Linked DNA regions of Alligator mississippiensis. The protein of the gene in region 1 interacts with the protein of each later gene in a pairwise test. Links are inferred from orthologs where the notes say so. Each region holds a gene or a part of one and is shown in the gene's direction. Other genes may lie near its edges.

Region 1 (16,021 bases):
TATGGAGAAGAGGGCGGGGGCGAGGAGGACCAGGTGGGCATGGGCTGAGGCAGTGGGGCAGGATGGGAGGGGAGTAATGGGGCTCTGGGCGCTGACCCCATGCTGTACCTACCTTCCAGGACTACGACCTCAGCCAGCTGCACCGGGGCCTGGATGCCCGCCCCGAGGTCATCCTCCGCAATGACGTGGTGCCCACCCTCGTGCCAACCCCGCAGTACCGGCCGCGCCCCGCCAACCCCAACGAGATCGGCAACTTCATCGATGAGGTGAGGAGCGTGGGTGGGGGTACGTGCCTGCTGGCCTGAGCCCAAGACATGGTGTTGGGGTCAGTTGTGTCCTTGCAGGGCCTGGTCCATGCCTGGGTTGAGGGCTTGCCCTCCACTCCAGGGTCTTCTCGTGGCTTTTGGAGGCAAAGGGTTGAGTCTTCTGGGTGCTTCCATCCTAGCTGAGGACGTGGCTCAGTGCTGTGTAGTCAGGTCCCCATGCTCGGCTGCCTTGGGGGGGCAGGTCCTGGTGCCACGAGGAGGGTGCTGTGCAGGGCTCGGTGCAGAAGCACTACTCTGGCTCCAAGGCCATGTCCTCCTGCCCCAAAGCTCTTGGTCTCATGAGGGTGGGGGGCTCCAGTCTCTGCCAGCTGAGCTCTACAGCCCCCACTCAAGCTGGGTGTCGGGATGTCTCTGGACACCAAGCTTGAGCCACTTCCAAAGCCCGCACGGGCCAGGCTGCACTAGGGCAGGGAGGGAGATGCTCACCTGCTGCCTCCTCCCGGCCCCAGAACCTGAAGGCGGCCGACACGGACCCCACGGCGCCGCCCTACGACTCCCTGCTCGTGTTTGACTACGAGGGCAGCGGCTCCGAGGCCGCCTCGCTTAGCTCCCTTGACTCCACCAGCTCTGACCGCGACCAGGACTACGACTACCTGCACGACTGGGGCAGCCGCTTCAAGAAGCTGGCCGACATGTATGGGGGCGGCGAGGACTAAGGGCCCCACGTGTGCCTTGCACGGAGCAACGTGTGTGGAAGCTGGATGCCAGCCCCACGCAGCCGGGTCCCCGTGCAGGAGACCCCGCGGGGGGGCTGTCGTCCCAGACCTTTGCAGGGCTGAACCCACTGCTTCTCCGACCTGTAGCTCTCTGCCTTAAGCTGCTGGTGCCTTCTGGACGTGCAGACGCACGGACCCATCCCCTGTGGAGCTAGGAGCCCGTATCCCCCCATGGCCAGCGGCTCTTGGCTTCTCAGCCTGGGCCAGCTGGCCCCCCGTGCCCGCGGCTGGGGCTGTGCTCAAATTGGCCTTGCACATGCCGCTGCCGCCTCAATCCAACCATTCCCTGCAGCATCAGATAGCTGCTGCCTCCTTTTTTGTACCTCCCCATGGCTATCGCTTCTCTCCCCTCCCTTTGTACGATTATCCCCAGCGCGATGTGGGCGCTGCTTGGCCAGGACGGTCCTACCATGTTAGTTTTATTAAAAGTACTTCTTTTTTTTTTTAAGTGCCCTGAGTTCCTGCTTCTTTACACCAGTCCCATCCTGGGGCAGGGGGGAGTGGAGCCTGCTGCATGGTAGGGTAGGACATGCCGGGAGGGGGCTGGCACTGGCGCTAGCCCTAGTCTCTACCTGCTCCTGCAGGACTGTCTGTGAGGCCTCCCCTACCGAGGGGTCTTGCTGCACTGCCTTGTACTATTTCTTGTGCTCTGACCTCTCCAGCCCCTGGTGCAGGGGTGCAACAAGCACTGCCAGCTGCCTTGCTTAGACTGGAGCTGCTGAGTTGCAACCAGCTGCTGGGGGTCCTGAGAGCCGGGCTGGGGTGGAAGTGCTGGGGTGTCTGAGATGTGGGGGCAAGCACCGTGGAACCCAGCCCTGCCACAGTGGTGGCACAATGCCTGGGGCCAGTGCCTTGAGGCAGCTGGGAGCCTGCAGAAGGCAGGCCGGGCCGTGCCCTCTCTTCTCCTGGGCTCAGATCTCGCTTGGCCCCTGGAACCTGTTCTTTACTTGGGCTGTCCCATCGCCGAGGTCATCTGCCCCAGTGCTTAACAAGCACGTGGCTATGAGGCTTTCCTTGCAGTCGTTTAAACCGATTTACTGCTCATCTGCTTCCAGAACAGGCTTACCTGGCTGTCACCACAATTTATTGTATTTCTCTCTTCTCCCTTGTCTCGACTGAACTACTCAAGTTCTCTTGCTCTTTCCTCATGCGTTGGGTTTTCAAGGCTTCCACCCTCTCTCCCTACCTCTTCCTCCAGGACACGGTGCCCAAACCAGGATGCGACGCTCCAGGGGTGGTCTCGCTGCAGCCCTATAAAAGATTCCTTGTTACATCTCGCCCTCACTAGCCTCCAGCCCCCCTCGGAAACTACCCCCTCTGAGCTTTCACTGTTAACTACAGGGCAATAATTAGGGCAGGTCTTGTGCAGCAAAGAGCTAGAGCCGCAGCAAGGCCCAGCATCTTGTCTTCCAGTCTGGATCTGCTATAACCCTCTTTTCTACCGCCGGGGGTGAGATGAGGCCTAAGCCCAGCCAGGTGCAGTGGAAGGAGATGCAGCACAATGTGACCCTGGTAGCACCCTCCAAGGGCAGGGGCTGCCTGCTCTGCCCCCTGCTCCCCGGGCAGCAGTGCTGGGCTGGGCATGGGAGTTGCAGGTACCCTCGTGGTATGGGGGTGGGGTGTACAGCAACATAGGTAAGCTGAACACCCTCCCTGGTGCCCCTGGGGCATGGCTGGTGCTGCAAGGGCTTGGAGCAGGGGGCCAGGCTGGCCAGGTCAAGCCACCTGCAGAGCTCTTATCTCTGCAGAGAGCTCAGCTGCTGCCTCGCTCTGGGTGCTGCTGCCACCCCCCAGCCTGGGCTCTCGCCTGTGGCCTTGCTAACGAGCATTGTGGGGGAAGTGGAGTTGATATAATGACAGCAACTCCCCTGTGCTGTGGGGGCTGCGCAGCCACAGCTGGCCCAGGCTGCTCCGGCTTTGCTGGGAACAGCTGGAGCTGTGGGGGCAGAGAGAGCCCTTCTGCTGGGACTCCCTCTTTGGAGCCCGGGACCTGGTGCTTGGGTCCTTGCAGGAAGTCTATGGGGGCTGTGGACTTCCTTGGGAGCAGTACCCAGAGTTGCTGCCTTAATGGACTGGGGGATGGGTTTGTTGTGCATGGGACAGGGGTGGCCTGTTGCGATTCCCCCAGTGATAGCAAAAGGCACCTTTCCCATTGCAGCAGGAAGAAATGGCCCTGCCTGGGGCATGGAGAGCTAGGAGAGGAAGCCAGGAGCCTGGATGAGCACTGGCTGCAGAGCTTCCAGCTGGGCACCTCCCTGGGGGGATGGCTGCTGCCTGCCTGCACGGGCTGAGGCTGGGACTTGGGATTCCCCAGCCTGGGAGCAGAGGCCTCACCTGGCCTCTTTCACCTGCCTGGAGTAATGCATCCTGGCAGGGGCCCAGGGGGAGGGGGTACTTCCCTGCTCAGAAAGCAGCTTGTAACCTGAGGCTGGGTGTGGGGGGGAGCAGGGACTGCTCCATCCCCCCAGCCTCTGCAGCAGCCTGGTGACTGGTCCGACTGGTTTTTCCGGCGCGGGTGCTGCAGCCCTTCAGGGCCCTCTTCCCCAGCCATCTCCTGCCCCTGTGTTGCCCAGCTTCCCCCAGAGCAGCCCCCCGGCTGGGTGTCCCAGGAGGCACCCTCCACCACCCCCACGTCCTGCGGCTCAGCTCTGCACCCCGAAGTGATCCAGGGCGTGGGAGGGCCCGGCTCCCTTCTCTGCCCAGCAGGGGGCAGCATGGCACAGGGTTGGGACCGGTCCCTGGGGCGGGCACTGGGAGCAGGGAATGCATCCCTGCCCTGTAGCCCAGGCACCTGGCCTACCACCTGGGACTGGCATGACCCTGCCCGCCTCCCAGTTGAGCCTGTGGGATCCTGGCAGCCCTGGGGAGCTGCTGTGGGTGCTTCTGAAACCATCCCGGGCTGCAGAGCAGACTGGGTGCGCTCGCCCCCTCGGCTGCTGGGCTTCCTGGCCTGGCATGCCCTGCTTGCTGCCCCTGCTTTTGGTACGCGGGTTGCTGGGACAGGGATGATAGTAACTGGTGCAGCTCAGGTGGCTGCTCACCTGTGCCACCTGCTCGCTGCTGGCATCGGTCGGAGCTGTCTGGCTATGCTCCCACGTGCAGGTGCCAGCGATGTGCCATGGAGCCCCAGCCCACCCCAAGGGGCCTTCTGGGGACAGCAGCTGCAGCTGGAGACAGGCTGGAGGGGCAGGAGGCAGTGCAAAGGATGGCTCCTGACAATAGCGGTGAGCAATAAGGCAGAGGTCTTATTTCTCCTCAGTTGCCTCCGCAGCACCTTCCCATGCAACCTGGGTGCTGGGGGCCAGCCCAACACCCGCCAGTGACGACCCATGGAAGAGGGGGAGTGGAGCAACAGCGGTCTCAGTGGCTTGGGGTAGGTGTATTTGGAGCTAGGACCACAGGTCCGTGAGCCATGTTTCCAGTGGGAGGGTAGGGGGTACGAAAACAAACCCTACTATGCATGCAGGGCCCTGGATGCAAAGGAGGCAGGCATGGGCAGCCCCTGCGGCAGGAGGGATCTGCCCCACTTGGCTACTGCCCCCTTTCTTCTTACCCCCCCATCTGGTCCTGGGAGGGTGACCCCGACCCCTAGCTCCAGGCCTCTCCATGCCGAAGGACGTGACTAGGAGAAAGGGGTGGGGCAGGAGCCTGGGCACCTCCTCGCTCCTGCCCGGAGCTGTTGGCAGTGTTTGGAGCAAGGCTCTGGCCATGCAAAGCAGCTCGCACCTCCCCTCCGGCACCCCGGGCACGGCACTGAGCACAAGTGGGTTGGCTGTTGGCTTTGTTTGCTGTGCCCATTCATCACCCTCTCCATCCTTTGCTGCTGCCCATTCTCCCCACGTTGCACTTCTGAAGGATACCACCCCCTCGGGCTCCTGGCACGGGTAGGGTCCAGCTCTCCTGTGCCTGGGCCCTGTTCCTAGTCTCAGGGCAAGGACTATGGCTGCTCGAATAGGACATGCCCATGGCCCAGCTGGCCTCCCCATGCTCCACGATGAACCTTGCTCTCCTCCTGCTGAGGTCAGAACAGGGAGCAGGCGCCCTCCAGGCACATGCTTAGTCCTAGGGGTAGCCTATGCCCCCTGGTCCCTCTGTCCCCTGGCGCAGGGCCATGCTAGAGATTGTGGTCATCAGGTGAGCACTGAGCTGGGCAGGACTGCACCCAGGAGAGCACCTGCTTGCTGGGATGGAAGGAAAGGCCTGGAGTTGCCTGTCCCTGCGGAGCCAGCAGTGAATAATTCAATGTTTAAGGCACGACTTGGCCAGTGCATGCCCGTGGGAGCCCTGGCACCACGTTTGCTCTCCATCACCTGCCAGCAAGCAGCAGGAGCCGGGCAAGTGGAAGGGGAAGCTGGACTCAAGGGCAGCGTCCCCTTTCACCAGCCTGGTGGTCACCAGCCCGCTGCCGGGTGTTGTGGGGATGACTGGGCCAGGGTGCTGCACAGACGCATGACCTTTGCCCCACGGGGCTTCCAGGACCAGAGGCTGTTGAGAGGGAAGTGGTAAGGAGGGACTGAAAGGAGCAGGAGCCCCTTCCCGGGGCCCAGCGAGAGGCTGGTCTGATGGTGCAGTGCCCAGGCAGGGAGGCTGGAGCTGACATCGGAGGCTGCGTGAACTGGGGACAGTGACGGGTGGTCTAGGGAGGGCCTGGAAAGCGCATGGTGGATGGCTGAGAGCGCAGCGCAGGAAGGAGCAGGGCAGGTAGGTGCCCTGGCCATAGCTGCAGGCCAGAGGTTGATTGCTGCTGACCCACAGGCTGGAGAAGACGGGGTGGGGGAAAGGATACGGTACAATGTGACCCCAGGCAGGAGGATGGGAGCGGACGATGCCTGGGCTCCTGGGAGGCATGACAGACCAGGAAGGAGGCAGAGTGAGGAGGAAGTCGTGGTGGCGACTGCGGGCGCGCAAGCTGTGGTTGGTCCATCAGCTGTTGCCAGCAAGGTGCACTTCCTTCTCCTGCACGGGGGCCAGCTCTGCTGTATCCCCCGCAGCCCGTCTCATCTGCAGCACGTGGTGCCTGCATGCCCAGGCCCAGCCGCCTGCCTGCTCCCTATGTGCCCCTGCCTCGGGCTGCCCTTGAGTCCAGCTACAGCATCCGGCTGGCCACACCAGCAGGGACAGGAAGCAGAGCTGAGCCACTGCAGCACTTGCAGTTTCGGTGTTTGTTCAGCAAGAACTTTGCCCTTAAGACCTGGGCACAGCAGGCCCCGCTCCAGGCTTCCTGCCTTATGCAATCCATGCAGCTCTGTGGGGGCCCAGCTGGAGGGAAGCTGCAGGGGTGAAGCAAAAGCCCTGGTCCCTTCTGCATGGGGGGACTAGCAGCCCACCCCTGCGCTGGGCCAGTTGGCTCTAGCACGCTTGCAGTTGCAGCAAACAGCTCATGCCCGAGCTCTGCTGCCCACGCAGCCCCACCCGGCATGTCCCGTCACCAGGCTGAGCTTACTGGGGCAGAGGTGGCCCCACGCCTCACCTGTCAGCCCTGTTTGTCACCTTCGTCCTGCCCAGCATCCGCTCCCAGCCGCCCGCCCTCAGACAGGGTGTGGGAAGACACCTTCCCCTTCTCCTTTCACTTCTCTGGCTCCTGCCCCTGCCCTGGGGCCAGCTCGAAGGCCTGGTGGCTCCTGAGGTTGGGGCCCGGGGCCTGCAGCTGCTGGTGGTTGCTGGCTGCTTTCTAAGCTGAGGTCCCTGGTCCCACTTCCCAGTCACGGGTGTCCCTAGCGCACGGGGTCGAGCATCGGCACTTTGTTGGGGTCTTCCCCAGGGGGGCTGCAAAGCCAATGCACCCAAACAGCACCCCGGGACATGACACCCTTGACCCCGAAACCTGCCTGGTGCTACAGCCCTGCTGATGGGGGGGCAGCCGGATCCCCTGTGCCTGGCACCCCGGGGCAGCCTCCTAAGACCATGAGAGTGGTCACGTATGGGGCAGGGCATAGGTCTGTCACGTCTGGTCTCAGAGAGTCCGCCGCCACCTATAAGTTTATCAGGGGTGACCGCCAGGACCTGGGGGAACGTTTGTTCACCACAGCGCCCCAAGGGATGACGAGGTTGAACGGTCACAAACTCCGTCGCAGCGGATTCAGGCTGGACACAAGGACGAATCTCTTCACTGTCCGAGCCCCCGAGGTCTGGAACAGCCTGCCACCGGCGTGGTTCCAGCACCCACTTTGAACACCTTCAAGAAAAAATTGGATGCTTATCTTGCTGGGATCCTGTGACCGCAGCTGACTTCTGCCTTCAGGCAGGGGCTGGACTCGATGGTGGTCCCAGGTCCCTTCCAGCCCTAGTGTCTATGAAATCTATGGGGAGGAGACGGGGGTCACCCCGGGCAGGATCAAACCCCGTGTCCCAGCTCTACACCCTGCCCCGCCTCTCCAGGAGGGTGCCGGTCCGCGGGTGCGGAGGGAGGGGCAGCCCCCCAGGCCGGACCAGCGCGATGCGGGGGAGGAGGAGGAGGAATCCCGCCCTGCCCCGCACACGCATCGGGCAGGGGCAGGACCGGGGGAGGCGGAAACCCCCGCCCGCAGCCCCGAGGACCTCCCCCGGGCCCGGCCCATCCCGGCCCGTCCCGTCCCGTCCCGTCCCGACCCACCTGCGGGGCGGAGCCGGGGCCGCTCACCTGCCCGCGCCGCGCCCGCCCGGCCCGCACTCCGCGTCCATGGGGCCGCCCGGCGCCGCGCTCTGCCTCCTGCTGCTGCTGCAGGTGAGACCCCGGCCCCGACCCCACCCCGACCCCCGACCCCATCCCCATCCCCATCCCCATCCCCACCCACACCCGGCTCACGCTGTCTCCCCGCCAGGCCGGCCCGGGGCTGTGCGAGGAGACGCGCTGCCAGCCCGGCTTCAGCGCCCAGACCTTCACCTTCGCCGTGCGCCGGCACAGCCTGGAGAGGGGCAGAGTCCTGGGCTCAGGTGAGCGCTGCGCCGCGGGTCGCCCAGGGGACCCGACACCCCTAGTGCCCCTGTGCCCCCCTGCCCAGTGCCCCAAGACCCTTAATCCCTCCGTGCTCCGTGCCGAGACCCCTAGTCCCCTGCGTCCCATGCTCCAGGACCCCCCAGGGTCCCTGTGCCCAGTGCCCCTCCCCATCAGGATCCCGTGCCGTCCTGGTGCAGCGTCCCGGGGGGGCGGCAGGTGCTGAAAGGCCCCGAGAGAGGGGCGGGCTGGCCGCTGGCAGGGAAAGGCAAAGAGCAGCACAAAGCCCCTTCCCACCTGCCCTTTCCCGGCGCTGGGAGGGAGGGAGGGAGGGAGGGAGGGAGGGAGCAGGCTTGTTCTAACTCGCATTGGGCGGGCGCGGGGCTCCGGTTGACTGTTGAACTCTGACAACCCGGCTTTGATGGATCGCACCAGGCACGGCTGGTGCCACCTCCCCGCCCGCGGCTCGCCCTGCGCTGGGGCGGTGCAAACAGGAAGCTGGAGGGCAGCACGCTGCGGCCAAGGGCTGCGCTCGGGAGTGCCTGGGCAGTCGGTTCTGGCGGGCGAGGAGCAAATGCAAGCAGTGGGCTGAGCTGGTCCAGGGGTGCTTTTGTCTGGGGCAGGGTGGGGGCAGCTCTCTCCCCTGGCACTGCACAAATGCCTGGCACTGTTTCAATGGTGGTGTTCACAGCAAGTGCAGGGCCTCTCTGTTCTCTGCCGGGCGCCCCTGGCTGCCAAAGCCCCCTGCCCAGGGCTGACCTGACAGGCTGTTGTAAATCTGGGGTGTCCCCAACCCCAAGCTCCTAGGGGCATGGGTCCCCAGCTGCTTGGGGGGCGCTGTGTTGGTCTGCTGGTCCCCACCCTAGGGTCATGGTTTTGGGGATTCCCTGAGAGGGCTGACACCAGGACAGCAGGAGCTGCCAGCCCACGGGGTCTGGCAATGTGGAGGAGTCGCTGCAGGGCATGCAAGGGCATGGAAGCTGTGCCACAGGAGCTGTCTGTGTGTGTGCGCTCCTGCCCCAGAGCAGAGCAGGGTCCCCCGCACCTGCCGTGGGGCGAGAGCACATGCACGGGCCATTCCCCGAGGTAGTCGCAGCATGATGTCCAGGCTGCAAGAAGGCTGAAGCTGTTCCCACCCTGGGTTGGCACATGAGCTGGGCTTCCCTTTGCCAACCAGGGGCTTTTTCCTGGCTGGCAGGGAGCAATGGGGTCTGTCTGGGGAGAGCTGGTTGGAGGCAGCCGACTAGACGGGTCTTGTGCATCCTCTCAGTGATGGCAGAGCACTGTCCCCAGGGCCCGCAGGAGCAGCAGGGGTGGCTGGAGAAGTGCGTGGTCTGTGCTGGCCTCCAAAGACCTGCCTGCTGGCACCTGAGCCCCAGAGCCAGAGGGGTGCTGATGCAGCTCGTAATTTGGGCTGTACCTACTGCGCTGCCTGGCGTGGCTCGTTGTCCATGACTTTGTTAGCGGCTGTTGCCGGCTGGTGGGATGTGGGTGCTATGTCCAGACAAGCCAGCCTGCTGCGCTTGCTGCAGTTACACCAACCTGCTGCATGCAGCCTGCCCCAGCCCCTTGCAGGGGCACATCCCTCCCCGGTTCGCATGCCAGCGGTTGTGGGAGCTGGTCTGAGGCCTGAGTTAGCAGTGACGCTTCCTCTTTCCCTTGGCATTTGTGCTGTAGCTGGGGGAGGGAGCCGGCGTGGGGGCGGCTGGTGCTGGGATTGCAAAGCATGGCGTGTGTGGGGGTCCTGGGCTGCGCTGGGGCTTTCGAGAGGTTGCGATGGAAGTGCTGTTTGCTCCTGGTTAATGGGTGACGAGGCTGGTGGCGACAACACAGCTGCTGCGAGGCAGCTCTGGCTCCGTCCTGTCTGAGGGGGAACATGCTAGAGCCCAGAGGCAGCCAGTAGAGGAGTCGCAGAGAGACGCATGGGGAAACCCGTGGCACCCGTGCCTTCCTGGCAGCTCGTGGTGCAGAGCAGTGTCTCCAAATCAGCTGGGACACTTGGTTCTGGTTCTTGCCTGATCACGAGTTGCCCGGGGGTCCTGCCTTACGCTACCACGACCGGTGATTTCCCCGCTGGCCTGAGCCACCCTTCTGTGCAACTGCCCCGGTTCCTTGAGTGGGAATTCCCCAGGTTCCCAGCCCCGCTGCTTTCTGTTTCAAAAGTTTGGCAGGGGCGGGTGCGGGGGCCGAGAGCAGAGACATGGCCCTAGGTCTCCTCCCTGCTCTCTGCCCGCACTCGAGACCCTGGAGCCGGCTTGACCCTCTGGAGAGGCTCAGCCCAGGAGCAGGTGGCAGGAGAGTCCCTGTGCAAAGCACTCCCATCCCTGGGACCAGGAGCCTGTTGGCTGCAGACCGGAGTAGCCCAGCAGGTGCTGGTGCCCCCAAGGGCACGGGGCAGTGTAGACAGTGTCCACCTGGGGCTGCAACCGGAGGCAGCTCAGTGCTGGTGAGACGTAGCTTGGAGAGAGCCCTTGTAGCCCTGTCCCGGGAGCTGCACACAGGTTACCTGTAAGGCCTCAGCTGCCCACAACCAGCGGAAGAGCTGGTCCCCGGGCGCAGGAGGCTGGAGACTGCCTCGCCGGGCAAGCAGGGCGGCCGTGCCAGGGTGCTGGCAGGGCACAAGGCTTCTGGTGTGATAATCCACAGTGACAGGGAGGCAGAACTGGCCTGTAATTAGGGGATTAGCGCCCAGGCAGGCCCCTCCCATGGACCTGTCTGGATTTTTTTAAATCAAATTTTGTTTCTGGGCCAAATTAGTTCTGAATTTTGACTGAGCAGAGCTCAAGTCCATGTGGCGATATCTCCGGCAAGTCTCCTCTCTTCCAGACTCTTCTTCAGTCTGGGGCTTCAGAAGTTCCCACATCCATGGCAGGCATCCTACGTGCAAGCCCAGAGGCTTGGAGGTTGAGGTGCCCCTGGTCTTGCTTGCCCTGAGCTGAACGGCTGAAGGAGCTAGGGGCAAAGCTTGAGACCAGTCCCCCGTCACCATCAATGGCCCCCATCGGAGGCATTATAGACTCGCGGGGTCAGCCTGCCTGCAGTGCGCCGGACAGGCCTTGACCCCCTAACTGCACTTGGGTCCATTCGCGGCTGAGAGGATGGTGTCTCCCAGACAGGTCTGGATAGGCCTGTGCGTGGGGGCAGGAGGAAAACCCAGGCACGAGGGGCTCTCTTGGACCCGCTGTGAACACTTAGTGCCTGAGCAGGGCTGCTCCTGGGCAGTGGCCAGGTGCTTTGGACTGTACCCAAAACCCTCCCTGCAGACCCGTCACTGAGGATTCCCCTCGGAGGGCTGGATGGAGCTGCCCGGGATGCATTAATTGTGTGGAGGAAAGCCTCCCGCTGGGTGATTCCCTGTGGGCATCAGCAGCTGCTTGCTTTCCTCGAGGCAGTCCCGGGAGCGCCCGCGCCTCCATCGCCAGCTTGCTGGGGGGAGCTGCCGTACGGGGAGGGGATGAGCTGGAAGCCAAGCATTCCCAACCACTGACTGCTCGTGGTGCCTTGGGCAAATCCCTGTGCACCCATGCTGGGACTTGTAGGTTGGGGGCAACAACTAGCACCAAGGGCGTTGGGAGTGAGCTGTAGGCAGGCTAGCCAGCGACAGGGCGACAGGCAAGGGGGTGAAGCCCTGTCTCCACCCGAGAGTGGCCTCAAGTGGAGGGGGAGGTAATCCTATGCACCCCGTTGGAAGAGGATTTGTAGCTCATCTGGTCCCTCCACGGTGGGTCCATTGTGCTGAGCCCCACAGCCCCACCCTGCACGGCCCCGGCCACTCCTGCAGCCTGGCAAGGCTTTGGCTGGCGTCCCAGAGCTGAGCGCCATGCCTGGCGCGTTCCCAGCCCGGCTGGGGGTGGCACAGCCGCTGTGTACACACGCAGGTGACTGGCGTCTGAGTCAGCTCTCAGGAGAAACTCGCCCAGCCAGTCTGGACCGGGGCGAAACTCCTCAGTGATGTCACCAGCCCTGCCCTGCGCATGTGGGAGTGGGCCCTGCTGGGGGGGCACGCCGGCCTGGCTGCCCCTGCACTCGGGTCCTGTGCTCCAGGCCTCTGCTCCCACCTGGGCTGGGGTGGCAAAGCCGGGCTGGAATAACCTGCCGCTGGCAGGAACCCGGGAAGGCAGGGGAGGAAGTGCTTTTTCCTGCTCTACCTGCCCCCGGGGCTGGGCTGGAGGCTGCTGCGTCTCCTGCCCAGCCAGGAGCTGGAGTGACCACGCTGAGTCCTGATCCCTGGGCACCAATGTCCGAGCGGAGCTCTGCATCCGCACCCTGTCCTTAGCGCTGACACCCCCCGTGCCACACGATGGCTTCGGTCCAGACCTTGACCTGGGGTGGGGGTAGGAGGTCAGAGTCTTAAAGCGCTGGCGATCCTTTTCAGACTCTGGCTGGCTGGGATGGCGATTGGGTCTGGCATGGGGGCAGGGACATGCTCACAGCATCCCAGGGCTGGGGTCTCAGCACCTTCCCCTGCAGCTCATACTGCAGCTGGAGTCGACAAGGGGGGTCCTGCAGGGAAACTGAGGCAGCCCCACATGCGAGCTGTCGGCATCCAGCAGTCAGGAAGACCAGTGTCTTCCTTCACCCCTGCCCCGGTCGGTGCAAGTGAGGCCGTGGGGTTGGCTCTGCTGGCCAGGATGCAGGGGGCTGGCTCGGAGCATGGCACCGGCTGCGGAGAAAATGTGCCCCAGGAGGTGCCGGAGCCTCCGTGCTTCAAAGGCCGTCACTGTGAACGCACCCGGCACCAGGCGTATTGCAGCCATCGCCCGTTGGGAGGCTGAGCCATCAGCTCTCAGGTCCCATCACTTATGCATGGCCCAAGAGCCTTGCGCCCATGGCAGAGAGACGCTATGGGTCTAGCTGCCTGGGGAAGGTGTCCGTGCAGCCACTTAGTTCCCTGGATCACTGAGGCCCTGGCAGCTGGGTGCAGGAGCTGGGTGGGGTGGGGTCACTTGGGGCCTTGCCCAATGTGTTTCAGTTTTAAATTCCACCCGCTGCGGGGAACCCGATCCCGTCTCTGCCTCCTGCCAGGCAGCCGGCTCCCCCAGGCAACAGGAAAGTTCTGGCTCCTCCTTGGAGCCCTTGGGAAATGTGAAAGGTCTCCAGGTACTTTCCAAAAGAGCTGGGTCTGGGGCAGTGCAGGGGGACGCAGTGAAACCTCGGCACCCCTGAGAAGCTGCTGAGCTGGGAGCTGCTGCCACGAGAGCCCGGGGCTTTGGGGATGAACGTGCAGCTCCCCCGGGCTGCAGCCAGGCAGGGACCCCAGAGGGGCACGCTCTTGGCTGGGATGCCAGAAAGCAGGGGGTGGAAGGAGACTTGGCTGGAAGGAAGGACAGGGCAGAAAGTGAAAGCTTTCATGGCGGGGGGATTATACAAAGGACTCCTGCATATTCCTAGCAGGACAGGTGCGTGCAGCGAGGCGAGGTGTGATGCATCCCTGTGCTGCTCCACAAGCTGAGCTCTGCTGTCTGCCCACGCCCTGCCCCTGGCACAGACACCACCCTGGAGAGGCACTGCCCTGGACGGTGGCACCCGGCTTGGTCTCCTGTTACACCGAGAGGCTGTTGGTCGTGTTAGTCTGATACTGAACTTGGGCTCAAGAAAGCTCGTGCTTTATATCCATACCTGATGTTGCTGGTCTATAAAGGGGCACCTCTGCCCTGCCTTCAGTCTGGGGGCCCAGAAAGGTGCAAACCACCCTTGCCTCCTGCTGCATAGCCAAGGCCCTTCCCTCCCGGGGCGCAGCCTGCCTCCCTGCCCCGGCTGAGATCAAGCATGACTGGGGGCATCCAAAATCCCGGAGGCCTGGGACTTGCATGAAGGCTGCCTGCCTGGATCTGGGGAGCCCCTGAAGCCCCAGGTCTGTAGTCCTGGCAGGGTGCTGGCCCGGTTGAGTCCTACAACCCATGGATTTTTGTAGGCTCAGTTTTTGAGCTTTGCTCAGTTGCATTTGGTACTAATTGGGACTTGGATTAAAGAAGAAAAAAAAGATCTCCCTGCCTCAGGCAGGGGCATAGGGCTGCCCGGCTCTCCCCAGGACAGGCTGCTGGACGCGGTTGGGCCCCCCCTTGCAGGAGGCTTCATTGCTGCTGAGGGAGGCACAGGCCGAGAGGGTGCGAGAGCCCCTCTCATCATACCCATTTATAAATCCATAGTGCCTTCACACCTTGAATACTGCGCCCAGTTCTGGTGCCCGCACCTCAGCAAGGACATAGAAGGACTCGAGAAGGTCCGGAGATGGGCAACCGGATGAGGGGTACGGAGGGGTTTCCATGCAAGCTGAGACTGGAGGGGACAAGCCGGGTCAGCTTAGCAAAGGAGATATGAGAAGGGTTTACAAAATACTAACTGGTGAAGAGAAAGTCCATGGGGATTTCTTATTGACTTTCACAAGGCAAGAACCAGGGGTCACAAACTGAAATAAGTAGGCAGTCGGTTCAAAACGAACACCAGGAAGTTCCTTTTCACCCACGGGTCACTAACGCGTGGAGGTTACAGCCGCTGGATGTGGTGGACACTGAGAGCTCGGCCAGATCCACCAAGGGAGTGGACATGCTTGGAGCAAAGGGGCTGAGCAGGGAGTGAGGGGCACGGCCCTTGAGTCGCAGTCTCCAGGTCGAGGAAGGTCCAAGGGAGAGGGACCGTGGAAAACCCGTGGTCAGACCCAGGTTGCTCTCCCTTCCAGCTTTCGTTTTCTGCCTGTGTGATGGGAAACTGAGCACAATGGACGGGGGTCTTTCCCAGTCGATAGCAGTCCTGGAAGCCAATGCTTCCAAGGCCCTGCACGGCTCCGAGTACCCCAAGTTAGCAGGGGACAGACCGCTGCTGACTGGGCCTGGTGGCCACAGGACCCTAGGTTTGCTCCCTCCCGGCTGTGAGACTCTGGTCTCCCCCTGCCCAGCCCCGGACCGGGGGAGGGATTGTAGCAGCCTGCGGGGGCTGGAGGTCTGGGGACCGGGCAGCGTTTGTTCGGTGCTTGCTGCAACCTGCTTCCCGGAGCTGACTCGGGAAGCCCTGAGCCACGCGGTGCCACGTCAGCACGCACCTGCCTCTGCCGCTGGGGCAAACGGCTGGGGTTTCACCGCCGTGGAAAGAGGGGCCGTGGCTGCACGCAGTGCAGAAGTGGCTCTCGCCTGTGGAGCGGCTCCAGGCTGGCACCGCGGTGGCACTGGGGTTCTCGCTGCCCCCTCTGCCGGGCCACGGAGAGGCCTTGAGCAATGCACAGAGCATGGGGAAGGCGCGGCTGGGATAGGGGGTGGATGGGTTGCAGCTGCCCAGAGCTTCCCACCCTCTGCAAGCAGCTCCTAACTGGGAGGAGTGGGTGAGCACCACGGAGCTCAAGTGAGAGCTGCGTCACCACGTGGCCGTGACGAAACGAGGGCTCTGAACCGTGGCAGGTACCAGGGGTGTCAGCTGCTCTCCCGCCCGGGCACCCCTGCACCCATGGGTCCCCACACGTCGCCTCTAACAGCGCCAGGTGAGCCCTGCCGCCCCTTCCTAGCTGCGATCCGGGGGAGCGGCTGTGACACACACGACGTCTCCAGAAAGGAGGCAGACGGACTGGAAAACCCAGTGCTCCCTTGCGGTCTCTGGTTTGCAGGCTCCTGGGATTGCATGAGCCTGGCAGCCGTTCCCTGCTGCCTGCCTCCTGGGAAATGCTCAGCGCCGCCTTGCCGCAGGGCTCGTGGTGACGGCACTACTCGGGCGGCAGCGCAGCCCCGGGCTAGCGGGCACGGATGTGAGTGGCCGGGGTGGAGGACACTGTGAAGCAGGGGGCAGCCGGTCTAGGGCGAGCTGCCTGGTCGTCCGTGCTGGTGCTGGGGGTGGCTCTGGGGAAGGGGACAAGGGGTTCCCGCCAGGAGAGAGGCACAGGGTGCAAGCCCCAGGGGCTTGGCTTCTGCAGGGAGCTGGGAGGGAGCCCCCGAAAGCCAGACGGAGCCAGCTGGGCACCCGGGAAAGTGCCCCCAGCCCCCAGCGGTCTGTGGGAGGTGGCGACAAGCAGCTCTGCTGGGCTTGTGCGGAGTGGTGAAGCTGAACGGCCGTGCCTGCACCCAGCCTGCGCTCGGTGAGGC
Region 2 (15,789 bases), on another chromosome or scaffold:
ATCACCGTTGGCCACTGATGTCGCTGCCAGTGGTGTATATAAGTGCTCACTGCTCACCACCCCTCCTCCTGCTGCCGCCAGTGCCAGCAGCATCTGCAGGAGCTCCCCGCTTACCACTGCCACCATGCTCCCACTGCTGTCAGTGCTGCTGTGCCCCACCAGCCACCAGGGGCATGCGGCGTTCATGCAGGGGACCCACCCCTCCTAAGCAGCCCCCACACCCACAGTCCCCCCACACCACCTACCCACACAGTGACTCACATCACTCCACATCCACCCCCGCCTTCCCACCCTCTCCTACAAACCCTACATCCCCCCCATCACACACCTACCATGTGATAAGGAAACCCAAAGCAAACATTAAAACATATAGATATTTAGGATTTATTTTATTATGATGTTAGAGACACTGACAGGCTTCCAAATTTCTTTAACATTGTAAATATAATAATAAAACATCGCCCATCTGATCAGTCCCCCTTTCTCTCTCTCTTTTGTTCTAATTGCGGAAGAATGTGGATTTTGGGATATTTTAAAAAGTGAATTTGGGATGCTGCTTCAGCAGTCTAGCTGATGCAAGGGGCTAGTGTCCCCAGATACCAATTGCCTGGGCCCCAGAAGCTCCTGAGGTCAAATAACCCTGAGCTACTGGCCAGGGTAGGTTTTTGTACTGCTGGGACCAGGACAGAGCAGCTTTTTATGCTGCTGGGACAGCACAGGTGCTGGCCCCAGGCTCTAGCTCCCCCTGGCTGCAGATCCGTGAGGAGCCAGACAGGGTTATTTTGCCCCAAGTGGCACAATTTGCTCCACAATAAAGTACATGTCCGAGCACGAGTGCTGAAGCAAAAAAGCCCCAGCTCAAATTTGCACCACTTTTATTTGAGCTGCTGCAAGCACACGTGCTTGCATGTGTGGACATGCCCAAGGTGCTTAAACCTGGATGTCCACAGCACTTCTGAAATTATTTAGAGCTGGGGTATCAAACTTACCCAGTGCTACAGGCTAGCGCATATCCCATGCAGCACTTGGAGCTGGACTCGGCAAATACGCTCTAAGCAGCACACAGGGCTAGTCTGGGACATGTACTGGATGTGGCATGTGGGGCTGGCCTGATATACAGCACATCCCAGCCTGGCTCCATATAATGTGTGCCTCTGAGAAACAAGGCAACATGCTGTCAGGTGGCACAAAAAGTTCAAGATTTTTTTTTATGACTAAAAACATTGTTTATATTGAGTTTGGTTAAGTGCAAAACCATTTTTCACTCCTGAGGCAAACACTCAAAGTACGCTATCTAAGAAAGCAAAAAGTTCTTACAGGATAAGGCAGTAACATTCAAACATTTCAGGCTTTACCTGTACTACCACAGTGTTCCTTTAGCTAACAATACTTACTTCTCTTTGTTAAGATTTCACTCATGCAAGAATCTAAAGAACCAATAGAGTTCACGGAAACAAGCCGACCTGAAGATGAACTTGATGTTCAGGAGGAGGTATGCCATTACATAGAGCATGCAGCTGTTATTTACGTTGTTTTTGTCTTAATAAAGTAGCATAACAAGTCATGCAGATACAATATTCTGGGCCAGTTGACTGGCATTCCCAACTCCTCACCCGCAAAATATCACAGCCTTGTGGGCTGCATAAAACTTGGAAGCTGGCTGGCCCTTTCAGGGAAAGCATTGGCTGAGATGCATGCCAAGAAGTGAGGCGAGAGAACAGTTAGTGTGTCTCTGTGTACCTGGAGAACAATGCTAGTGGAAAAAGTTAGTATCTTTTATTTTTTTTGGAAAGTACAGCCGGCACCTTGTGTAAGCATGCATCTCCACTTCAGCACTCTTGAGGCAGTATGCCTGCGTCTGCTCTGTAAAAGCTTGCTGCTTTCAACTAAGAAATGCTGTTCAGTCTGCCTCCAAGCACAAATTGGTTCTAAGAAACATAATTACCTCCCAAGATGTTAAGGTTACCTCAGGGACTGAATAAGAAACTGTCTTATCCTAGACTGGCAATATATTTGATGGTTTCTACTCCTGCCCTCTCATGGCCAGTTTTTACTGGGTTTAGGAGAGAATCCTGCTCAAAATCTGTGATAAAGCTATCAGCCAGAGAGACTGCTTCAGACTGCAGCCCTTTTAAGAATATTTCCTAGCAGATTCAGTCATCCAGGACTGAGCTGCTTATATAGCAGTGCATGTGCAAAAATGTTGTAAGAGATGTTGTGTACTCAGAACTAATCATGTACCTCTTTTCTCCTCTTTCTTCCACCCTCACTGTTTCAACATTACTGCAAACAGGCAATGCGCAGGCTTGCATCATGAAGAAAAATGGATGTTGTCATGCTGTGGACTTGTGAAACTATGTATGCACCAACATTAGACAACCAGTATCTGAACTGGGACCAGTCTTTGCATTTGAAGAAAACACTGATTTCCTTTTGTGAATTCTACAGATCTCTAGAAATGTCTACATTTTGTCTGTTGACAGAATACCCTTGAACTACTCAAAACATTTGATCAGAACTCATTCGCAGAAGCAACCATTGTTAAAATTTGGAGGCAGATCATCATAGCTTCTAGAAACTTCAGGAGGCAAGGCTTTGCGTGGGTGACGGCTTCTACTGGATGAACTGCATGGTTGGGATAAACTTAGATAAGCTTTCAAATACAATGCCTAGTTGAAGAATACATTGCATTCAAAAGTCTATCCCAACAATGCATTTGGTTCAATAGAAGATATCACCAACAAAAATTCTTGCCTTTTGCATATGTCTTGGACCATCATGGCTACAACATCGTTCCAACATGACAGAAATTGCAACTAGTTTTAGGGTTGGTGGATGTAAATGACCCAATACTATGTTGATACTTATAGGAAAAAATAGCCACTTGATGGTAGCAGAACAAGGAGCAATGGTCTCAAGTTGCAGCAAGTGAAGTTTAGGTTTAGGTATTAGGAAAAACTTTCTTACTAGGAGGGTAGTAATGCAGTGGAACAGGTTACCCAGAGAGGTTGTGAAATTCCCATCCTTGGAGATTTTTGAGACCCTGCTAGAAAAGCCTTGGCTGGGATGATTTAGTTGGGGACAGTCCTGCTTTGAACAGGGGTTTGGCCTAGATGACCTCCCAAGATCCCCTCTAACCCTAATTTTCTATGATTCTGTGGTAACATAGTCCATAGCATTGAGAAGATTACAAATTCGTTGGATTGGTTTGTTCAGTGCCTGGCACAATTGGAGACATCTTTAGATGCTACTGTAACGTAAATAATTGATTATAATATATTCCTCGAACAAAAGCAGCAATAGGCAGTAAGAACTCTGGGCCCTGACCTGCAAAAATATCTTCAATCCCATGCAGTTGATGCGCAGAACATTATCACCCATTCAGCAAAAACATCTTTAAAAAAGTATCTATCTTGGTGATTCTTTATAAATACTCCTAGGTTTGCTTCTGTGTTTAAAGTTTTATTATAAAAAAACTTTGTTACATAATCAAAATGGAGGACAGATGAAATTTATTCATGCAAAATTAAACTTATTGTACTACTACAAAAATGATAACCACATAAAAATTGGGCTCATCAGGAGACACTATTATTTGAGAAACTTGGTTCATTAATTTTATTTTTAGTAACCAGGCCCTACTGTTAAAGATCATAATTGATATCAAACATATATAGAAATGTTTTGACCGGGTAATATATTGCAAACTTATGATTTTTAGGGGCTAGTCTGATACTATTTGCATTATGATATTGCCTTCGTCCATAATTAGTCTGTTTGAAGGTAGAACTTTGGGAATGCTGTCTCTTCCTCATGTATAACACACCCCTGAATAAAATCCATTTTATTTTTGAAAGGCAGAATGAAATAAAGATCCTTCCTTGAAAGCCTGGGGGGGGGAGGGGTGTGGAGAGGTGGGGAGGGGAAGGAAAGTGCCCGGTGCCAGCAGCAGCGTGCTTAAGTGCCCCTTTACTTGTGCTTTCCCCTGGCAGAAGCTGAAGTAGCAAGCACTGCTGTTACCATATTTTCTTGACCATAACACCTCCCCCCCCAATTTCCAGGACCTGAATTTTGGGGGGAAATATGTATTATAAGCCAAAAAAATATGGTAGGTTTTTCTGAAACTTGAGTAAAGTTATCAGAATCAGACCCATTATCTAATGTTGGTTTAGTGGGATATAAACTAACCCTTTCTCTCTTGTAATAGAACATATCAAAGAGACAATGCTAATGTAAGTTAGTGAGAATGCATAAATATAGTAATTTACACAGTGTTCAAGATTACAAGAAAAGCTATGCAATTTTAACCCCTAGTTTTAAAGCAATAACAGCTATGTAAGAAATGATGGTTCCCCACTGTTACTACTAATAAATACATTTAGATAGGAGAATAGTTACATTTTTAAAAGGAAGGAAATTACCTGGGGTAAGGATGTTGCACATTTAAAACATTACAAGACATGAAATACAAAGCGGACAGAAACTGGACATTGCCACTGCATGACTCTGGGCAAGATGGACCTGTGGTCTGACACAGTAAATAGCAGTTCTTATGTTCTTAATCCCTGCAGCACTTAGGTGCTAGCAGAACTTAACGGTTCCTATACACTTTGATCCTTTTTAGAGCCACCCCTATTTCCAGGCCTGCTGCCCTATCCACACTGTATGCAGCAAACCACTTTGTAGCCAGAGCTTCCATAGCCATAACCATTTGAGCAAGGACCCAATTACTGGCGACGTGTAGGGAGTGCATGGGGATGCATGTGAACCCCCTGAGAGCACCAGTGTACCCCCTGACTGGCTGCGCTCACTGCTTAGGCAATGGGGGGCAGGCAGGAGTGCCAGTGCCCCCCCTGCAAGCACTGGCTGATCGCTGCAGCTGCTCCCAGAAACAGATGCAGCCACTCCTGGAAGCAGGTGCAGCAGTGATTGGCTGCTGTGGCCCGTCCCAGCAGTGAGATGAGCCGCAGGGGGACACCCCCCCCACCTCTCCGCACAGCAAGATTGGCCATGGGGGGACTGGACCTATTTTTTTTTAAGTGCTATTTTAACTGGGATATACAAAAACTAGGACTCTTGGTTCCAAAATGATACCTTTTATTAGACCAACTGGAAAATGGCAAGAAAATTGTCCTTTCCTGCAAGCTTTTGGGATTAAAGTCCCTTCGTTGGTCTCTGGGAAAAGTGTAGATGGTACAAGATGGTCAAAAGTCCCCATAGGCAGGAAATAAACTTCATTTTTGCACAGGGGGAACTGAAGATGGAAGTCTGTCCCTCTGGGTCCATGACAGTGTCTGTGAGCTGTGTTAAGTAGCTCTTTGATGTGTTGATCAGGTAGAATCCCTTCCCTGGAGATGTCAGATGGCAGGCAGGGAGGCAAAAAAACTTCCTTGTTGTTCTGTAACGAAGTTTAAAATCCAAAATCGGCTAAAATTCGGGATTTTAACTGGGATTCATTCAGGTTTTGTTTTTTGTCTTTTTAAATTTTGTGTCTCTGGTCAAATCAGTCAAATTAGTTCTGAATTTCATCTGATGAGCAGGGCCGAGTCATTCAGGCCCATATAGCATTACCACTGGCAAGTATTTTCCCTCCAGGGCTCTTCAGCCTAGGGTTTCAGACACTCCCAAATGCATGGCAGGCTTCCTAACGCAGGCCCCAAACCCAGAGGTCTGGGGGTTCGGATGCCTCTGAGTCTTACTTGCCAACAGGCCAAAGAAGCAATAGTGCAGCGTTTCTCAACCTGTCGGTCTCAACCCAAAAGGTGGGGTCGCAAGAATAGATGTAAAGGTTACGAACAAACTTCAGAAATGGTTCAACACACTTTAGAAATGGATTCTCCTTTAAAGGTGAAAAACATGACAGTGTGGCTTTTCCCATGCAAGCTGGCAGAGTTCCCCTCACCCCGCACACAGGGGCCGCGGGTCGGCAGCGAGGGGCACTGGCCATCCATGCTTACAAATGGGTCCTGGGACAAACAAAGTTGGGAACCGCTGCTAGGGCAGACCGTGGTAGGGGGCCTGTCTGCAGTGCATCGGGCCCGTCTCCACCTGCCCTACGCGACGCCATTCAAGGGGATCTGACCTCCCCGGGAAACCACCTCCTGGTCCTTCCCCTGCCCGGTAGGATGAATTCAGGGCAAAGGACGCAGGGGGTGGCATGGACGCCCCCCGGCTACACCCCCGTTAGCCTGGCTCCGACGGCCTGGTAGGCCGCGGCCAGGCTGGAGCTCTCCGCAGCAACCACGGGCGCTGTCAGACACACGCTACTTGTGCAGAGGACCGGCTGCGGAGCCAGGCGCCGCCTACGACCACCTCAACATGGGGGGAGGAACTACAGCTCCCGGCATGCACCGGGGCCAAGGCGAGGCTTGCGGGGACCTGCCGCTCCCGGCATGCACCAGGCCCGCTCCGGCGCCAGGGCAAAGCACGTTTCCCAGCATGCCGCGCGGCGTGCCGTTCCGCCCTGCCCGCTCGGGTGCGCAGTGTTCTGGTTGCCATGGTGACCACTCCGCCGCATCGCGCGCCACGGCCCCCCCCCAGCTGTCCCGCGGGCACGTCCCACCCCCTTGTTCAGCGAGTTTCCGGTTTCTCCCTTCAGTCGTTTCCGGCTCCTCCCTTCTGGCGCGGGGCACTTCCGCTCCCACAGTGCCCCGCGCCGAATCATGGACCACAATGGTGAGGAGGGGCGAGGGAGGGAGAGAGGCCTGTGTGGGTCTGGCCCGGCCCGGCCGCCTCGGCGCTCGCGGGCGCTGCCGCTGGCTGCGGCGGGGCTCCGGGGGCGGCGGCCGGGCCGCGCTCTGAGGCCTGGGCCCCACGGGCTGAGCCCGCGCCGAGCGGAGCCGAGGGCCGCGGCCTCCCCAAGCCCGAACTGGCGCCGGCCCCGCCCCCGCTTCCTTCCCCTCGCTGACGCCCCGGGACGGGGAGGGCTCCGGGTGTGGCCGCCGGCGGCCCGTGCTTTAGCCCCGGGGGCCGGGGGTTGCTGCCGTCGACCTCGCTCGTTGCGGTCCCTTGTGACAGCGGCCGCGCTCGGGCCCGCCCTAAGGGGCCGGATCGAGGTGCCCGCGCTGGGCCGCACCCGTTCAGCCTCGGCGTTCAGCGGGTCCCTGGAGGGTCTCGGTGCTGACCCCAGGGCGGTGGGCTTGAAACCCCTTACCCAGCTGCTTGGCCTTTAGGCAGCTGCGGTGCCAGACTCTTGCATCTGACCCCACTCCTATGGCGTAGTGAGCCGCGATCCCTGGAAAAAGTCCTGTCCTGAGCATTGTCTAGAGGCTCTCTTGCTCCGCTTGCAGCTTGCTGTGCAGGGGCTTGAGCCTGGGTTTCAGCCCAGAAATACGAACCTGTTCTTAACTTTGTTGCCGGCCTCCAGACCTGACCTGGCTGCGTTTGTAGTCACTCCTGTGCAAAGAGAGCTTGAGCCTGGGGAATGGCCTGGAGTGGAAAGGCCACAGATCCCAGAGGTCAGGGTGCCCAGGGACAGGTGTGGGGAAGGGGCTGAATCCAAACTCACAGTGCGGGATTAAGTGTGTGCTATTAGTGCATGCTGACTGGTGCCCCTTTAAAATGTGTCAGGTCATAACCAAAAACTTAAATTAAAAAAACTAGTGAAGTCATGTAAGAGCATTCTCATTTTTCGGTGGACCCTTGTAGGTTATTAGCTGGGTTAGAAGGATGATAGGAAGTTAGAAACTTCCTTGAGTCGCATTATTTCCTGCTGTAACTCCATTGGCTTCTCGAGTCTGTAGACCTAAACCAGATGAACAGGCCAGTAGAGTTTAGTTGATTTTTAAAAAGCTCTTTGTTCATCTATCCCACTTTTAGGAACAGCTCTGATAGTCTCTTCTGGGCTAGTTTTTACTCTACACCTGCAAATGTTTCATTTCCTAATAGAGGTAGTTAGCTTTGTTAATCTGAAGTCATTCAGAAGGCGAGGTAGATGTGTACCTTTATAGACTAACGAAATAAGATGTATACAGACTACAAGATTTCACTGCATCATTTCCTAATGATACTCTTAACAGGAAGTTTCCTAATATTCAGCCTACCTTTTTTCACCTGTAGTGCTAGTTTGTACAGTTAGTGTACATGGAGTGAACTGGTATATAAATAGCCTGAGGAGCTACCTTGTTCAGAAAAGTTTTCTCCAAAGATCTTGTGCCCAAAAAGTACAGAAGAGAATGTACTTTTTATATCTAAAATACTTTCTGTACCAGAAGAGCTTTCAGAAAGCTTACAGTGCAAGTCCATTGTTTTGTATTGTGTTGTATGCCAAGAGAGCCTGTTAAATGCTTCAGATATATTTTTTCCTCTTGGCTTAGCCATCTTACCCATGCTAGTAGATCCTTCATTCATACTTCGTTCACTGTCAGTACCAAAGCAGCCCCCTAATTACCTTCAGTTCCCGTGAAGGTTTTAGAATAGAACATAGCCTTCGTTTAGGTGTCTGCACTGGCAGTGGTGTGGACTGGAGGAACTGAAAGGTGTTTGCTTTATGACTTTTTTTGCTCTGCATGTGCAGGCACAACTGTTCTGCTGAGAATTTTAGTTTTTTGGCCCTTCATGTACTGCCTCAAAATTGTTCTCCCTGTCGACTTCACTGGAATTGCTGTGCTGCTGACTGCTAACAGATGTTAATGAGCAGCAACACAGTTTTTGTAACAAGAGGCATGGTTTCCTAAAGTCAAGAACACCCTTAACCTTACAAGTATTGGCTCTGTGATGCTCCAGTCCTCTGGTCCCTAAAAGAGAGATCCATGAGTTAAAATACACTTTGACTGAGGAACTGGTTTAATTAGTGGAAAACCTATTCCCTCCCCCTCCTCAAAAATTCCAATAAAACTAGAAACAATTTTTAATAGAAGGTAAGAAGTACACTCACGTTGTAATGGTGGCATTCAGAGCACTGTGTGAAATGGGTACACTTGACCACCCGGCAAAACGGGCAAGTGCTGAGTCTGAGACGACACTGGTTTGAGAGTCAGAGAAATTTACCATATTTTCTCGATTATAAGACAAGGTTCCCCCCCATTCAATATGGGAAAAATTAAGCCTTGTCTTATGATTGCATACGACTTATCTGAAATCAGAAAATGCACTGGGGATGTCAATGTTAGTGAGGAGGCCACATGGCCAGACACCTAGTATGTGGTCAGTCATCAGAGGGCACCTGGGCACCCCTCAGCATACAGGGTTTCTGGCTGGCCAGTGCAGTCACTCCAAGCTGCCTGCCAGCATGTGCCGCATTGCTTTGGCACCCTCTGGCTGGAAACCACACACACAGCTCAAAATAATGCAGCAGGTGCAGGCCATGCCCTGTGCCCACAGTGCAGGGTTTCTGGCCAGCGCATACTGAGTTGCTCTGAGATGCTGCTCAAGTAGTGGGTGCTGGAGCAACCTGGCACATGCTGGCAGCCTAGCGCCAGGTCCCTTTCTGTGAGCTGGGTTGTCCCAGCACTTGCTGCTTGAGCAGCAGCGCAGAGCAACTCAGCATGTGCTGGCCAGAAATCCCATGCTGTGTGGACAGTGCCTGGCTGGCGCCTTTAGGTCACTTTGAGATGCATGTGCAGTTTCCCGTCAGAGGGTGCCGAAGCAAATTGGCACTCGTTGGCAGGCAGCAGCTTGGAATGACCCTGCACTGGCTGGTCAGAACCCTGCACACAGCTCAAAATAACCTGGCAGGTGCCAACTGGGCACCATCCCTGCAGCATCAATTCTGGATAGATTACTGGACAATGCATGGGTACTATATGCAAATTGATATACCCATGTTTATTTTCAAGGTTATTGTTTTCAGATTTGTTCCTCACTTCCATGTGTGCAGGGAGAGCAGGGTCTGACAGTAAGGAGAAAGGGAAGGGTCTGCTAGAGAAAAAATGGTGGGGGAAGCAGAGAGCAAAGGGCTACCTGGTCCCACAAATTTGGTTTACATGCTGTAGCAGTGAGAGGGGGACAAATTCGAGGCAAGCCTCCAATAATTTGATTCTATATCTGGAAAATGATAACACATTTTTATATTTTCCATATATAGAATGTAATTATGGGGGTCATCTTATCATTAGGGTCATCTTCTATTTGAGTACATACAGTTGTTCTGTTCCTGGCTTTGCACCTGAACTGCTAAATGATCTTCAGCCATCACTTTGCCTTTACACACCTGTTTCCTTCTAACCCTTATGTAATTTGTTCAGTTTGTAAGCATGAGGCTTACAATGGACTTGTCCCTAATCTTAGCTAAGCTGTCTAAGCACTACTGTATTATTAATAATACAACTTGTATGATCTTTTAATCTGATGGTTTGTCACTTATATGTGAAATGGGCCAGAAGGGGTCACTGTTAAATGAAATAAAAGCAACAGTTCCAGCCTCTTCTGGCCAGTTCAAATGATGATGAACCCAAAATGTATTACATAGCTGCAGGAAAAAGGGTATTGGGTTGTAGGGGCCTCTTTAAAAAGAGTTTGTTTTTACCTTATAATTTAAACTATGGTCTGGGCTTGTAGATGAAATGGAAAAACTAGGTGAGAGGTGTTAGGGCTTCTTCATATCAAGATAAGAGTTTGGAAACTTTTTTTATACAACTTGTCCACTGTGATGATTACAATGACCCAGCATGGTAAGAGAACATAATTTAAAATATTATGGTTTTGTAGAGGTTTTATAGTATAGTGAGCCAATATTACCATTAGGCACTACACAGACGCACAAAAAAGGCCTTGCCTTGAAGAGCTGATGGATTGATTTATTCCAGAATAGATTGATTTTTTTTCCTTCTAATGAGTAGTGTCTGGTACAATAAATGAATCTTAAATTAGCTTTAATAAAACCAGAGTTATACTTCTAATTTGTCTAGATTGCTACTTAACTTTTTAGAAACTAATATGCAAAATAACCAGGAAATTACAATAAACATATTTTCTTCTTGTATAGACAATGATTTGCAAGGAACTAATAGTTCTGGATCATTGGGTGGTCTTGATGTTCGCAGACGAATCCCTATAAAGCTTATCTCCAAGCAAACCAACAAAATCAAACCTGCACCTCGAACTCCAAGAAATATGAACAGGATGCCGTCAAAGACACAAGCTGGTGATGATGGTAAACTAAATAAATTAGTGCTGTGAGAGGAGAGGGAATTCATTTATTTTTTGTTTTGCAGTAGTGGTCAGATGCCCCATTCAGTAGCGGAGCCCTCATATGTTAGGTGCTGTGCGAACACATAAGAACATGTGACTGAGACATCCACATATTGTGTTATAAGCAGTAAATGGCCCCTGCCTCCAAAGAACAAGGAGTACTCTTTTTATTCTGTTTCTGTTCCTCTTTTTGCAGAAAGTATCTAAGCATAAAATTAGATTTAGGCCCAGCTGACACTGAAATGCCATAGTATTTCTGATTGTTGTTTAAAATGCTCATCATTCTATACTAAAATCAGTCTGAGTCATTTAGAAAGGTAATAGTTTGTGTTGAAGTATGGTCTCATTTTTCCCCAGAAGAATTTGATTATAATGAAGAGGAACGATACGAATGCAAAGGAGGTGAAATGTTTGGGAATCAACGAAGATTCCCTGGACCCATCTTTTGGGACTTCAAGGTACAATCTTGGATGCAGTGGTTTGGATGATAATATAAATTAAATTGCTCTCTAAACTTTTAAATACATGGGGAGCAAGTTCATCTTTAAAGTGTAGAAATGAAATGAGATGCATCCTGCTTACCCTTTCAGAAACCAAATGAAAAATAAGCACTTCTCTTACTCTTAGCATTGCTGTAAAGGTATTTTGTCCTTTTTCTCAGATTGTGCACAGGTCCATGTTTCTTAAGAAATATTTAAGAGCTTGCAAGCATATTGGTAATATTGAAAATAAGCCATCATAATATTGCTGTTCCTTACAGATTAACTTGCTGGGAGAAAAGGATGATACCCCAGTCCATTTTTGTGACAAATGTGGATTGCCTATTAAAATGTATGGGCGCATGGTGAGTAGAGCTACTTGTGGAAAAGGTAAAATTTGAAGCAGTTTTAGAAGTAGTTCTCAGTGGCTTACTGGCAAAATTGTAGGTAGCTAGTGGCTGTGTAACATCATTTATGATGGCTACTTAATATTTGTAAGAAAACATAGGAGTCATTGATTTCAAGTCAGATTATTGTGAAAGAAGGTCTGCATCTCAGAGCAGAAGCAAGTAGACGTACCACTATAGGGCCAATTGATTTTAGGGGAGCTGTGCAGAACCAGTACGAGGTATCTCTGTGCATCTCAGTTCAGACTCAGCCACTTAATTTGTACAAGAATGCCAAACTATTCATGTTCCACATATTTTGTGCTGTTACCTTGTTGAATCAAGGAACAAAATGGCAGATATGGTGAAAGGATGGCAGATGCAATGTTTGATTTGTTCCCATTGTAATTAGTTGAAAAATACTTTTTAATGTGAAAGAATGTGTAAGAGGGCTATAATATATATTTAACATTAAAGTGACCCTTTTCAGGTAGAGTACTGTATATTAATGGGAGACTTCAGCTGAGTTAGTAAATTCTATATAGTAATCGGTTTTGTTTCTCTTAAAATAGCAATCAAACCTAATGCTTAGGATGAATTTAGAATATTGCCTATAATTGGATAGATGCTAATATTACCATAGAAGAAGCTTGTGGCACATTTGTTTATTTACAGATTCGCCTAAATGTGTCACATGTTGTTTTCAGTTGCATTCATCTTTAAGTGCTTGAAACCATCTGATCAGCGGTATCATATGTCTTTTCCTGAGCTGTATCTATCTGTTTCATAGGCAGTTTAATGGAAGAAAGATCTATTTTCTACAAGATATTCAGTAAGAAGTCATGTTCTTGAGGGAAAATATGAGAACTTTTAAAAAAAAATATATTCTACAGGTGGCTTACTTGTTTACATCTTGTTTTAATAGAACAATTATTTGTATGTCTCTAGATCCCTTGCAAGCATGTTTTCTGCTATGATTGTGCTATATTACATGAGAAGAAGGGAGACAAGATGTGCCCAGGGTAAGTGAGCTGGAATTTGTTTATTAAAAAGGGATAACGTAGAAGTGTGGAAAAGGATCCTTATTTCACAGAATCTTTTTTAATGTACATAGTTTTGACACAGTGAAAAAAACACGTGACTCAGTAAGAGAAGTAGTAAAGAATAGTGCTTACTGAACCTGATAGGTTAGTTTAACATAGCAGTTTTAACTAAACGATGAGGGATTCAGCTTCACTGCAGATATGTAAGTAGTAGAGATTTGAAATAGTTCATATGTTTAGGTTCTTCCCTCCCTTGGTAATTTGCAAAGAAGTGACAATTCACTAACAGTTAAGGGTCACCTGCCAATTATGTACTCTGAGCTCAGGATGGTTCTCTGCTCTGTGTTGAGTAATAAACCTGCATGGGATGCCAATTATAAACAACACTTCAGAAAATGCCAGTCTACTTTGTAATTGCTTCTAGGGGAAACTGGTTTTGAAATATTTGAGTTAATTTAGGAAATGCAAGCCTTTTCTATTGGTATGGAAGTAAAAGCATTGGCTTTTAGCGTAAATACGTCTAGATTCTGAGCTGCCTTTGACAATGAACTGATTTTTTTTCCAATATAGCTGTAACGAGCCTGTGCAGCGAATTGAGCAGTGCGTGCGAGGGTCTCTCTTCATGTGTAGCATTGTTCAAGGGTGCAAGAGAACATATTTATCTCAGAGAGACTTACAAGCTCACATCAACCACCGTCACATGAGAGCTGGAAAACCTGTTACCCGTCCTCCACTTGAACCTGTTCATCCTCCTATTGCCCCACCTCCTGCTGAAATTCCTGAGCGTTTCATAATGCCACCTGATAAGCATCATTTGAGCCATATTCCGCCAAAGCAGCACATCATGATGCCACCACCACCTTTACAGCATGTGCCACATGAGCACTATAACCAGCCACACGAGGACATTCGTGCGCCCCCGGCAGAGATGTCAATGGCTCCACCACCTCCTCGCTCGGTCAGTCAGGATACCTTCCGTATCTCAACAAGAAAACACAGCAATTTAATAACTGTCCCTATTCAGGATGATTCAAATTCAGGTGCCCGAGAACCACCTCCACCAGCCCCAGCACCTGCTCATCATCATCCTGAATACCAGGGTCAACCAGTGGTGTCCCACCCTCATCATATAATGCCTCCACAGCAACATTATGCACCACCCCCGCCGCCACCACCACCAATTAGCCATCCAATGCAGCATCCTCCCCAGGCAGCAGGTACTCCTCACATGGTTTATAGCCAAGCTCCTCCACCGCCGATGACCTCTGCTCCTCCACCAATAACCCCTCCCCCTGGACACATCATTGCCCAGATGCCACCATATATGAATCATCCTCCTCCAGGACCTCCCCCTCCCCAGCATGGTGGCCCACCTGTAAATGTCAATGCACCCCCTCCCCATCACTATAATCCTAACTCTTTACCACAGTTCAGTGAAGATCAAGGAACTCTTAGCCCTCCTTTTACACAGCCAGGGGGAATGAGTCCAGGGATCTGGCCAGCTCCAAGAGGGCCACCTCCACCTCCAAGAATGCAAGGTCCACCTTCTCAAGCCCCTCTTCCTGGACCACACCACCCAGATCAAGCCAGATACAGACCCTATTACCAATGATATGAGCAGTAAAGTGAACTGAGTATGCTATGAGAAAAAACTATACAGCAGCCTTTTAATGAATCTGACTGTTTGGACCTCTTGCTTTCTCTCTCTCTCTTTCCTTCTCTCTGTCTCTCTCTGTCTCTCTCTCTCTTTTTTTTATTAATAATACCATTGTTGTGACAGTAAGACACTCTGGGCACTTGAATCTTAAAGGATTTTTAAGCCTTGACCATAGGACTTCAAATACACTGTAGTTCTAAAATAAGTGGCTTAATAGACTACAGCTATGTTTTAACAGAACTTATGTCCCTAGTGGGGCTAGACATGCCCCAGAGATGATTGCTTGTAATATTATTTCCTGAAAAATTGAGCATCCATTGTACCACTCTAAGTATCACTTTTGTTAAATCCAATGTTTAGTTTTACTTGTGATAACTTTTTGTTAACCTGTGTACAATAATTAAATTTAAATATGGTTGTAAAAGTGCTGGGTTTTTTATGTGAACTTGAGAGTATATACTATTTCTGAAACACCGTTTCATGTTTTCATGTTTCACAAACGCTTTTCCCAAAAGTCATGTTAGTGTGACGGACATTCACAAATCCTTTCAAAATAACATTGTTTACATTAAACTGATTATTCCATGTTTAAGACGCTATAATCTTTCAGTATGTTGCACTTCAAACAGAAGACTTTAAGTTGAGAAAATTTCAGGATTACAAATGAATAATTCAAAAGATGCAGCTCTGGCATGATGCAAAGCTATATTAATTTAACATTTTAAAATCTTTTTTTAACTCTCTTTTTGTCCAGAAAGTTAGGTGTCGCTTGAGAGCTCATGTGCTTCTCGCTGTGTTGAACTCGTGTTATATGTTTGCCCACCTATATGTGTTCATATAGATGGTGTCATTGAGTGAGTTGCTATGTCATGTCCCAAAAATCACCTTCTTTCATATAATGGACATTTACCTACTATATATAAAACTTAAGTCCATCAAAAACAAGTGTAAGAAATTCACATTCCTGTAGTGCATTTACTGGTAGTATTGTTTAAACAGAGCTACACAGGGAAACCATCTATTCTGTTTTAATTGTCCTAGTAGGGTGTTCATTTTTGCATTCCAACATTAGTAATGAAAAATAAGTTTTAAAG

The links.
Region 2: the proteins of B-cadherin (region 1) and CBLL1 interact in a two-hybrid assay, tested with the Homo sapiens proteins (2 studies listed by BioGRID, with this or other methods). The link is inferred for Alligator mississippiensis from reciprocal best matches to the Homo sapiens genes CDH1 and CBLL1.

The regions. Positions count from the first base shown.
Region 1 is NC_081833.1:76,122,346-76,138,366, forward strand, and holds the start of B-cadherin, read left to right. Parts: upstream 1-7,639; 5' UTR 7,640-7,700; coding exon 7,701-7,745; intron 7,746-7,842; coding exon 7,843-7,954; intron 7,955-16,021. Other genes in the region: B-cadherin, read left to right, coding at 1-33, 120-266, 776-982.
Region 2 is NC_081827.1:28,115,684-28,131,472, forward strand, and holds CBLL1 (E3 ubiquitin-protein ligase Hakai), read left to right. Parts: upstream 1-9,601; 5' UTR 9,602-10,588; coding exon 10,589-10,610; intron 10,611-10,924; coding exon 10,925-11,092; intron 11,093-11,487; coding exon 11,488-11,588; intron 11,589-11,890; coding exon 11,891-11,974; intron 11,975-12,943; coding exon 12,944-13,017; intron 13,018-13,608; coding exon 13,609-14,650; 3' UTR 14,651-15,287; downstream 15,288-15,789. Other genes in the region: SLC26A4 (pendrin), read left to right, coding at 1,409-1,492, 2,294-2,317. UniProt on the Homo sapiens protein: E3 ubiquitin-protein ligase that mediates ubiquitination of several tyrosine-phosphorylated Src substrates, including CDH1, CTTN and DOK1. Targets CDH1 for endocytosis and degradation.